Linked DNA regions of Drosophila melanogaster. The protein of the gene in region 2 interacts with the protein of the main gene of each other region in a pairwise test. Each region holds a gene or a part of one and is shown on either strand. Other genes may lie near its edges.

Region 1 (3,412 bases), on a different chromosome or scaffold from region 2:
AGAAGGCTCCTTCCGCTCCCCTTTTGATTATGCACATGCATTTCGGCTCGTACATCAAACTCGAACTCGAATAAATGTGACGGCCTGCATGCATTCAAAGTTAAAGGAAATACGAAAAGGGAGAGGGACGTCCAAAAAGCAACAGCCAGGGGAATATGCTGATGGATGCCGGGTATAACTGATTTGTGTGTACTCGTATATATCTGAATTGGTAATTTGCTATAAGCGACTTTAATATGGCACGCAGTTGTACGCCATCTCCGCATCCCCTCTTCGAGACACTTTGCATACTCATCCAGAGTCGGGCAAATGTTTTCGATTTACATGGCTAAGTAGCAACGGTCCAGGTTTTCAAAACCAAAATATATAACACAAAAACTATTTTCGAGCGGCGAGTAAACCAAATGCGCATAACAATCTTATGCAACCAGACTCCATAGTAGCCATGTGTGCATTTAATCCTTCCCCTAGGAGATTGTTATAAATATTTTATTGAATGAAAGATCAATGCTATCTAATTAAATAAATTTAAAAATCATAGTTCGGTTTATTTCTAGTCTGAATTTTACGCACGGTAGAAAAGTTACTTTAACTGGATCGGTTTGGAATATTTAGGTCAACGGAACAAGATACTGAGCGCTGGGATTAGGATTCAAACAGCACTATGGAATTAAGCCCTACTGCCCCCGCAGTTTGGCTTCCGTGGATTTCCTTCGAACTTCTTCAGCTCACGAATCAGGTCACAGGAGCTTGGAACATCTAGGCAGTTGCATTCAACGCCCCGAGGCTTGCGAAGACGAGAGCGGCTGCACTCGGAGAAGGAAGGATAGGGGGCCTTGACTTTGACGCAGTCGGTCTTACGTCTAACGACGTGGCAAGAGACGCTGTCTACGGCCTTACAGCCGGGCATCTTGATTCTAGGGCAGGGTCCTCCCTCCGTGGGGCATTCGACATTCGTGGGACACTCGGCGGATGTCACGAACTTCTTGCGCTTGCGCCTTGGGATCGGCGGACGAATTCCCGCCTCGTAGCAGCAGATCTTCTTGGGCTTTATCTTTATGGGCGGACACTCCACCCAGGTGACCTGGTACTTGCGCGTGGCCTTGTCAGAGATCTTGTAGTAGCATTGGTCGTACGGGGGGAACCGTTCCGCGCAGGGATCGGTGCAGCACTCCGGCGGCTGCTTCACCAGATGATGGAACTGGAAGCCGTCCTCCTTCTTCGGCGGTGGTTTCTTCGCGAACCGGGGGTCTCCACAAGCGGTAAAATTACCGCAACCCTTTCCAGAACTGTCACTGCACTTTGGAGATGGATTGTGGTCCTTTGCGAAAGCGCGATGGCAGACCACGCTCGCAAAGCTGGGTATTACTCGATTTTGGGTTTTCGTTCCAATACTGCGCCACATAGACATGGCTGGATACGGGCTGATATAAATTTCTCGGGGGGGAAAGAAAGGTATCGCTAAATACAACAATCCCGAAACAAAAATGAAAATCCCTCGGCACCGAAAAATGACCAAACTACAAATTTGTAACCGAATACACAATCAGCTCAACGGAGCCGATGTGAATTTTGGAAGAGGCCGAGAGGAACTGGCATACAAAGTTATTCGACATGGCTACATCGCATCGAAGTAAATTTCAAGGCATCCTTTTCAGAATATTATTATATAGAAAGAGGAAATACTCTGTTAGCGCAGAGTACTCCATATTTATACATAAAAGAAAAAAAACCCTACAGTCGTTTTCTCCGTAAATCACATACCACTTATTCTGCTAGTACGAAAATTGTGACGAAATAGATTTACAATTGGTCAAAAATAAACTGAAATCCAAATAAAAACAAGAGCCATTACTCAGCAACATGGGTCAACTTCCGCTGCGTCAATGTCTCTAGAATCTGTATGCTAAACCTTATAGCTTTTATAGTTCCTGAGATCGAGACGTTCATATGGACAGACGGACATGGCCAGACCGACTCGGCTATTGAGTCTGATTAAAGTATATATATTACTTTATGGGGCCGGAAACGCTTCCATCTGATTGTTACATACATTTTTAAACGAATCTAGTATACCCATTTACTCTAAATATAATAATATAATATAAAATAAAATAAAAAGTATAATAAAATTTTCTTCAGCACTTAGGTCGCGAAAAGTATTTGGAGACAGGTTCTGCGGCAAATTCTACCAAAACCATTTTGTGCTGCGCTAACGTCTTTAGAGTCTGGTTGGTCAATCCAACCTGCATACCTTTTTAAGTGCCCGACATGGCCTGATTGGGAATGAACATGTATATAGAGTCGGAAATGCATCCTTCTGCCATTTACTTACGTTTCATCGTATTTAGTATACTCTACTAGTAGCGGGTACGATAATACCATTCCCACAAGTTTGCAAAACTTCATAGATTTTACTATAAATTCTCTAAGATATTTAAAATATGTATATCTTAAGTTATATACTCGTTTCCCTGAAAAGCAAATTGAGATGAGGAAGAGGAACCCTCACAAAAGTGGGGAAAAAAAAGGCACTGCAACTGGTACAACAGGTGTAGCTTAGATATATCTAGAGGTCTTTTAGAATTTGTATTCCAAATTTCCTATAAAGTATGCTGTGAATGCCCACTCCGAGCTGAGGATGTCGGGTTTTAGTTAGTCTACACTCAGTCCTTGGCCTAACATAACATATTTTCGACTATTTTCGGCTTTGTAAAACAAAATTTGGTAAAAAGGTTCAATATGTTGCGAATGTTGCGTCAGAAATGTCGTTCCCTCGTAGATCGGAGCATGCCGTGCCTGGAGTCTTTGGTAAATGCCTGTTCTCTATTCAAGGTCGATTGGTCCAAGAATCTGAGCCAAATCAAAACCCCGGCCGACTGCGTTGGCTCCAGTGTGCTCCGGCAGCACCTGTTACGCCGCAACTACAGCAGTCAGTCTTCCGCCGATGATTGCGGGCGGCCAAAGGATTGCGATCAGGTATCGACCTCCAAGGGCTGTGGTCCTGCTCGGTTCAAGGGCACCATTTGCGATGCAGTCAAGGGCGGTAAGCGCAAGAAGAAGGAAGAGCCCAAGAAGGAAAAGTCCAACAAGCCGAAGCTGCCAGCAAAGATGAGGTCCATGTGGTATATACCCGACTGCGAGTACGTGCCAAAGTGCGATGTGCCAGTGCGGTACGACATCCAGCACTACCGCATATCGGACAAAGAGGCCCGCCAGTACCAGGTGACGTGGAACGAGTGCCCCCGGTTGGTGATCAAGCCCAAGAAGGTGTGCATCCACGCAAAGCGACCGCGTCCGAAGCCCTGCCGCCGTCAGCGGAAGACGGTGGTGGCCACAGCCCGTCCCACGATGCCCATGCTTAATCCCATGGAGTGCAAGAAGGCAGAGGACTCCTCACCCTGTCCGCGCT
Region 2 (4,795 bases):
ACAGCTGAACAAAAAACAGCACCGAGCACATTAAGTTTGAAATAAGAACAACACTATAGAACTCAAAACCGTACACATAAAAAATCGATGTTTTAATACAATAATAATAATAACACAAAAAAGAAGTGCTCAGTAAAATATTATTCATGTCTTTATGTAATTAAGAAATTTTTACTTAAAAGAGCAGATAGATCTTATAAGATTTCAAAATTTTCCTCCTTATGCTTGAATTTAATCATAATATCAGATTTAAAACCGATCATATTGTGTTTCTGTGTAGCGATCGGAAAACTGAGAACAGAGAATGGAGCACTGAGAACTGGGGAATCGTAGAACCGGAGAACCGGAGCTCCCAGCACGATGAGATGAAAAATTCTAGAGAGAGGCGGGCGTTTTTTGTAATAGACGATGTCTACGCTGATGACCTCAGTTAAAAATAAATAATGCCTTACATTGTTTGGAATTAGTGGCTGTTTCGTTACTCCAGTCCGTAGATGAGATCTGCATCGAGATTCGAGATTCTGGCCTTAAGTTCAGGGTGGCGCTCAGCGATCGGTGATCATGAAGATGCTCTGGTGAGGGGTTGGCGACAATAAGACAAAACATGGGGCGCCCAAACAAATCATTTTGTCAACTCAGCTTGTACCCGGCAGCTGGAGCAGAGACATAGAGACATGCATACATATTTGTGTAAATTCTTGTACGACATTTATCACACACGAAATTGATGAACCTGCCCCGCCTGATAAATGTTTGCGAGCTGCCGAACAAGGGGAAAGCGATTTTACTAAATCAGGGAAAATCTGGGCAGAGATTTGCTTCTAAGCTGCTGGATTGGGTGTAACATGGTTTTGTTTAATTAAAAATCAGAAGCGAGTTTTTTACGGAAGATGTTTTAGGATGGGAGATGTCTTGTTTATTTTGTTTATGTTTTGAATTTCATATCTAAATAAATGAAATAATATTAAAAATCCTAACTGCATGTAACTTATAAACATTGAATTATCAATTTTTTTGGGTCTTTCCCAACCAGAAGATGAAGAACGCCAGGCCAGTCGAAATATTGTTTCAGTTTTATTTACCTGAAATTTGCTATTTTATCAAGCACCCAGCACAAGTGTTTCGCTGTGAACTTATTTACATACTTATCGGTACGTATGTGGAGTATAAACAACAAAGGCAGAAACAACGAAAAACGAGTTTCTATATATAAGGTGGCTATGCTGTAAAATAATAAAGGGCGGGCCGTATCAAGAGTTGTTGTTATGGTAGACAAAACGGGTCGCCAGTTTCAGTTTCTCGGGGGTTAAAACGATCGACATACTCCGATGACGCATTTTAGAACCGGAAATGCTACGCCTGCCATTTGGCTGAGTTCTCAATAAGTATGCAAATCGGATTCGGATTGTTTGTGCACTTTTCGGTGATTATTCCCATGAATTAAAAACAAACGCTGGAGGGAAAAAGCAGCACTCGACCAGAGTGTAAACAAACTACAATACATAGCGATTATGATTTATGAATCAAAATAAAGCGCTGACAATTCAAACAGCAGCGGAAATGGTAAAGAAAGCCGATCAGAACTCGTATAAGGCCAATAAAAACGATCGCAGATAACTCGAACGCGTCGCGTAGATTATGCCAGCGACTAACTAACTGTAAACATATACTATTTAGGTTATCACTATCTTTTTCAGTTCGCAGCTGACAAGATAAAGTTGTACCACAAAGTCAAAGACTAGAAAACCGAGAAACTCAGGTAAATTTTGGGGAGTGAAAGTAAGTGGCAAACCCGGCGACAATCACAAGATGTATCTAAAACTCTGACGTTTCGTTCTAGGAAGCCCCGAAGCCACCCATAAACAAGCGACGTCTGGATTTCTCGAGATCTGCAGATCTTTATGGACCTGCAGATAAGCTGGATGGATTGTTTATCCTACCCCGAAGATAAGCGACATGGGGTCCCGAAGCTCTATTTACCTTTTTAGATGCGTTTGCGGTTGCTGCTCGCGAAGAGAGTATCTGTAGCTTTGGGTTTTCTTTATTTCTTTGATTTCACAACACCATCGGAGATTCTATAAACACCAAATAGAATTTTACTTTCGTATATTGCTTCACAGAACTTTTCTTTTCGTATAAATCAGATGTGTAATTTCTCTTTTATTTTCGTTGTTTCGTTTATTTTTTTATTTTTCTGAATCACTTGTATTTATTTCTCGTTTTCAACAACAACATTTCGTCATGTTTTTTTCTATGGGGCGTACAAAAAATGTAGTAAACGTAATCGAAAACAAAAGCACGCGTTCTCTTACTCGAAAGAGAGAAAGAGACGGGCGGTGAGGCAGAGAAAGAGACAGGGATAGAGATAGAAAGGGGGAAACAGAAACACACGCACACTACAAATAAACAAAAACGGAACCGAACCGCAAAGAAAACCGATTTTTATGCACTATTTAATTTTATATATTTTTCTGCACGCAGTTTTTATTTTTACTTTTCTGGTTTCGAAAGATGTTTATTTTTTATTATGGGAAGTGTTAAAACCGTGCGAAATTCAAGCCCAACAAACGATGCGTTTGTTTTCTTTGGCACTGCAATTTCCGCGCTACATTTTCGTATTTTCTATTTGCTTTTCGAAAAACAAGAGATTTCTTTATTGTTTAATGGAGAGTGCCTTTTTAATCGCGGTTGTGTGAGTGTGCCTCTGTTTATCGCGTTCGTTATTTGTTGTTGACTCCGAAAAATTCGTTCACACCCGCGCTCATTCATAAAACGTATCCAAAACACACGATGTCACGCACTCACAGTTTTTTAGCTTATGTTTCTGAAAATGATTATTAACACTTGATGCAGTATTTTGCAATATATTTACATCTCTTGACCCGCACGTTTTTTCGGATCCTAAATTCAATGTTCACCTTTTTCGTAAAAACCTGAGAACTGCCAATAAACAACGGTTTTTTGGATTCAGTATGTTTTTAAAAAATTTGAATAACAGAGGAGCGCTTTAAATTTGCCCGACTTTTCCCGGTCGAGGTGGAAACCCAACTGTTGTATCCAACAAACTCGTGGTTGGATCACCCTGCTTACCCGCTTTGTTTTCAATGGAAATGTTAAGATACAGCGTTTTAGCGGTTAACAGACGCTATTTCTATGGGAACTCAAAACGTTCGCTTGCTGTTCACATGGAGTTAACATGCGCGAGACCCGCGATTACCGGTTAACAGAGCGAGCTAACAGCAAGAATTATGAAGAGAGCAACATGTTGCGCTCAAACTGCGCCAACAGCTCAATTCGAGCCGATCGGAGCGATCTCAAACGACCTCAAGCATGTTGCAGTTCGAGAGGAAATCCCCTAGAATTGTTTATTGAAAGTAAAAACAGTTGGAAAAACTCCAAGCATATGGATGTATTTGTAGCTCTTACACACCCATTCGAATGTGTTTGTAAATTTACACTAACAAGCGGTGATAAAATCCCATGTTAGTCTTCTCTATGGCTTATTTAGTGTGTTTGGGTTTCTGATTTTATGACCCGGGCCTCATCTTTGTGCAGCCTCTTTCAGGCTTTATCGACTGGCATCTCCCTTAGTTCTTATCAGTGGGGCATTGTCTTATCTGCAGATTTATGGCCCAACGCTCATTTAATAGCCCGATTCCTGGAAGTCGACTTAACACTTTCGTTGTCTCAATTTGATTAGCGCCTGCATTGGCTTAACACTTTTTCACCCATAAAATTGTGTGAACCAAAACGAAAGCGAGACAAACTAACTGTATATAATGATAATGAAAAACTCACAAGTGAGCTGTGGACTATTTAATCACTTTACTTTTGTAACCTACTAAAACAAAACTAATGTTCCTAGTCAGAAGAACAAATTATATATTACTAATCATAATATAATCATGATTTAAAGCAACTTACGTTTCAAGTGCAATAAAATACTCAATAACCGGTTAGCAGAGTTCTACGATTTGTGTAAATGAATAATTATCTAATTAGATAGCTAAACTTTTAATTTAAAATCCTTCAAGTCTGTAATTTAGTTAAAAATACAGATATGACCACAGTTTGAAAACCATAAAGTTAATGGCATAATGAGCCTTTTGAATACCATTAATAATTTGTAGGAGTATAAGATAAGAGGAAAAAAATCATATAAACACCTCTAACTGGCAGTTAATTAGTTGCAGCTAATTGGTGGTGCTTAGTTAATAAATATTAAAACCGAAGACGTTTGTAAGGTCCAAGAATAAAGCACGTGAAATTATAAATCATTCTTATGGAGGAGAACGAACTCTTGTTCCGACCAAATTGTTGAATGAACCAAGACAGCTAACAACAATTCGTCAGGATTAGCCGTGTCAACTCTTTCCTGTTTTTGTGCCATCTCCTTATTTTTCCATTCTATTGGCTTTTCTCTTGCGTTTTCTCTTCTCGTTCCCTCCGCATTTCATAACGTTTTGAGGTGTGTTCGCCGGTCGGTCTCATCCTTATCGAAGGTGCGCATCAACGTCGCAGAGAGATATACCCATTTACCCATAACCATTCCCGACCCGATCTACGTGCTCGGGTTCTCTTGCCGGCTTTGAAATCGAAACTGCCCATTGTGTTGAAATCTAAGCGAGCGTGTGAGGAGCTCCCCAATCTCCGAATGAATCCCAGTCCCTTCATGAACTCCAGATTCCAATTCAGAAACTCCATGCCGTGTGATGTGCTGCATGCTTGATCGATAGCGTCTGGCCCCCTTGATTTCCAACGAAAGGTAAACACATCAAAAGCAAAAATATTGAGA

Evidence for each region.
Region 1: the proteins of cv-c (region 2) and CG8701 interact in a two-hybrid assay, tested with the Drosophila melanogaster proteins (one large-scale study listed by BioGRID).

The regions. Positions count from the first base shown.
Region 1 is NT_033778.4:8,369,251-8,372,662, reverse strand, and holds CG8701 (uncharacterized protein), read right to left. Parts: upstream 1,591-3,412; 5' UTR 1,412-1,590; coding exon 671-1,411; 3' UTR 521-670; downstream 1-520. Other genes in the region: CG2127 (uncharacterized protein), read left to right, coding at 2,743-3,412.
Region 2 is NT_033777.3:14,478,662-14,483,456, forward strand, and holds the start of cv-c (crossveinless c), read right to left. Parts: upstream 3,053-4,795; 5' UTR 2,919-3,052; exon of another isoform or gene 2,252-2,918; 5' UTR 1,981-2,251; intron 1-1,980.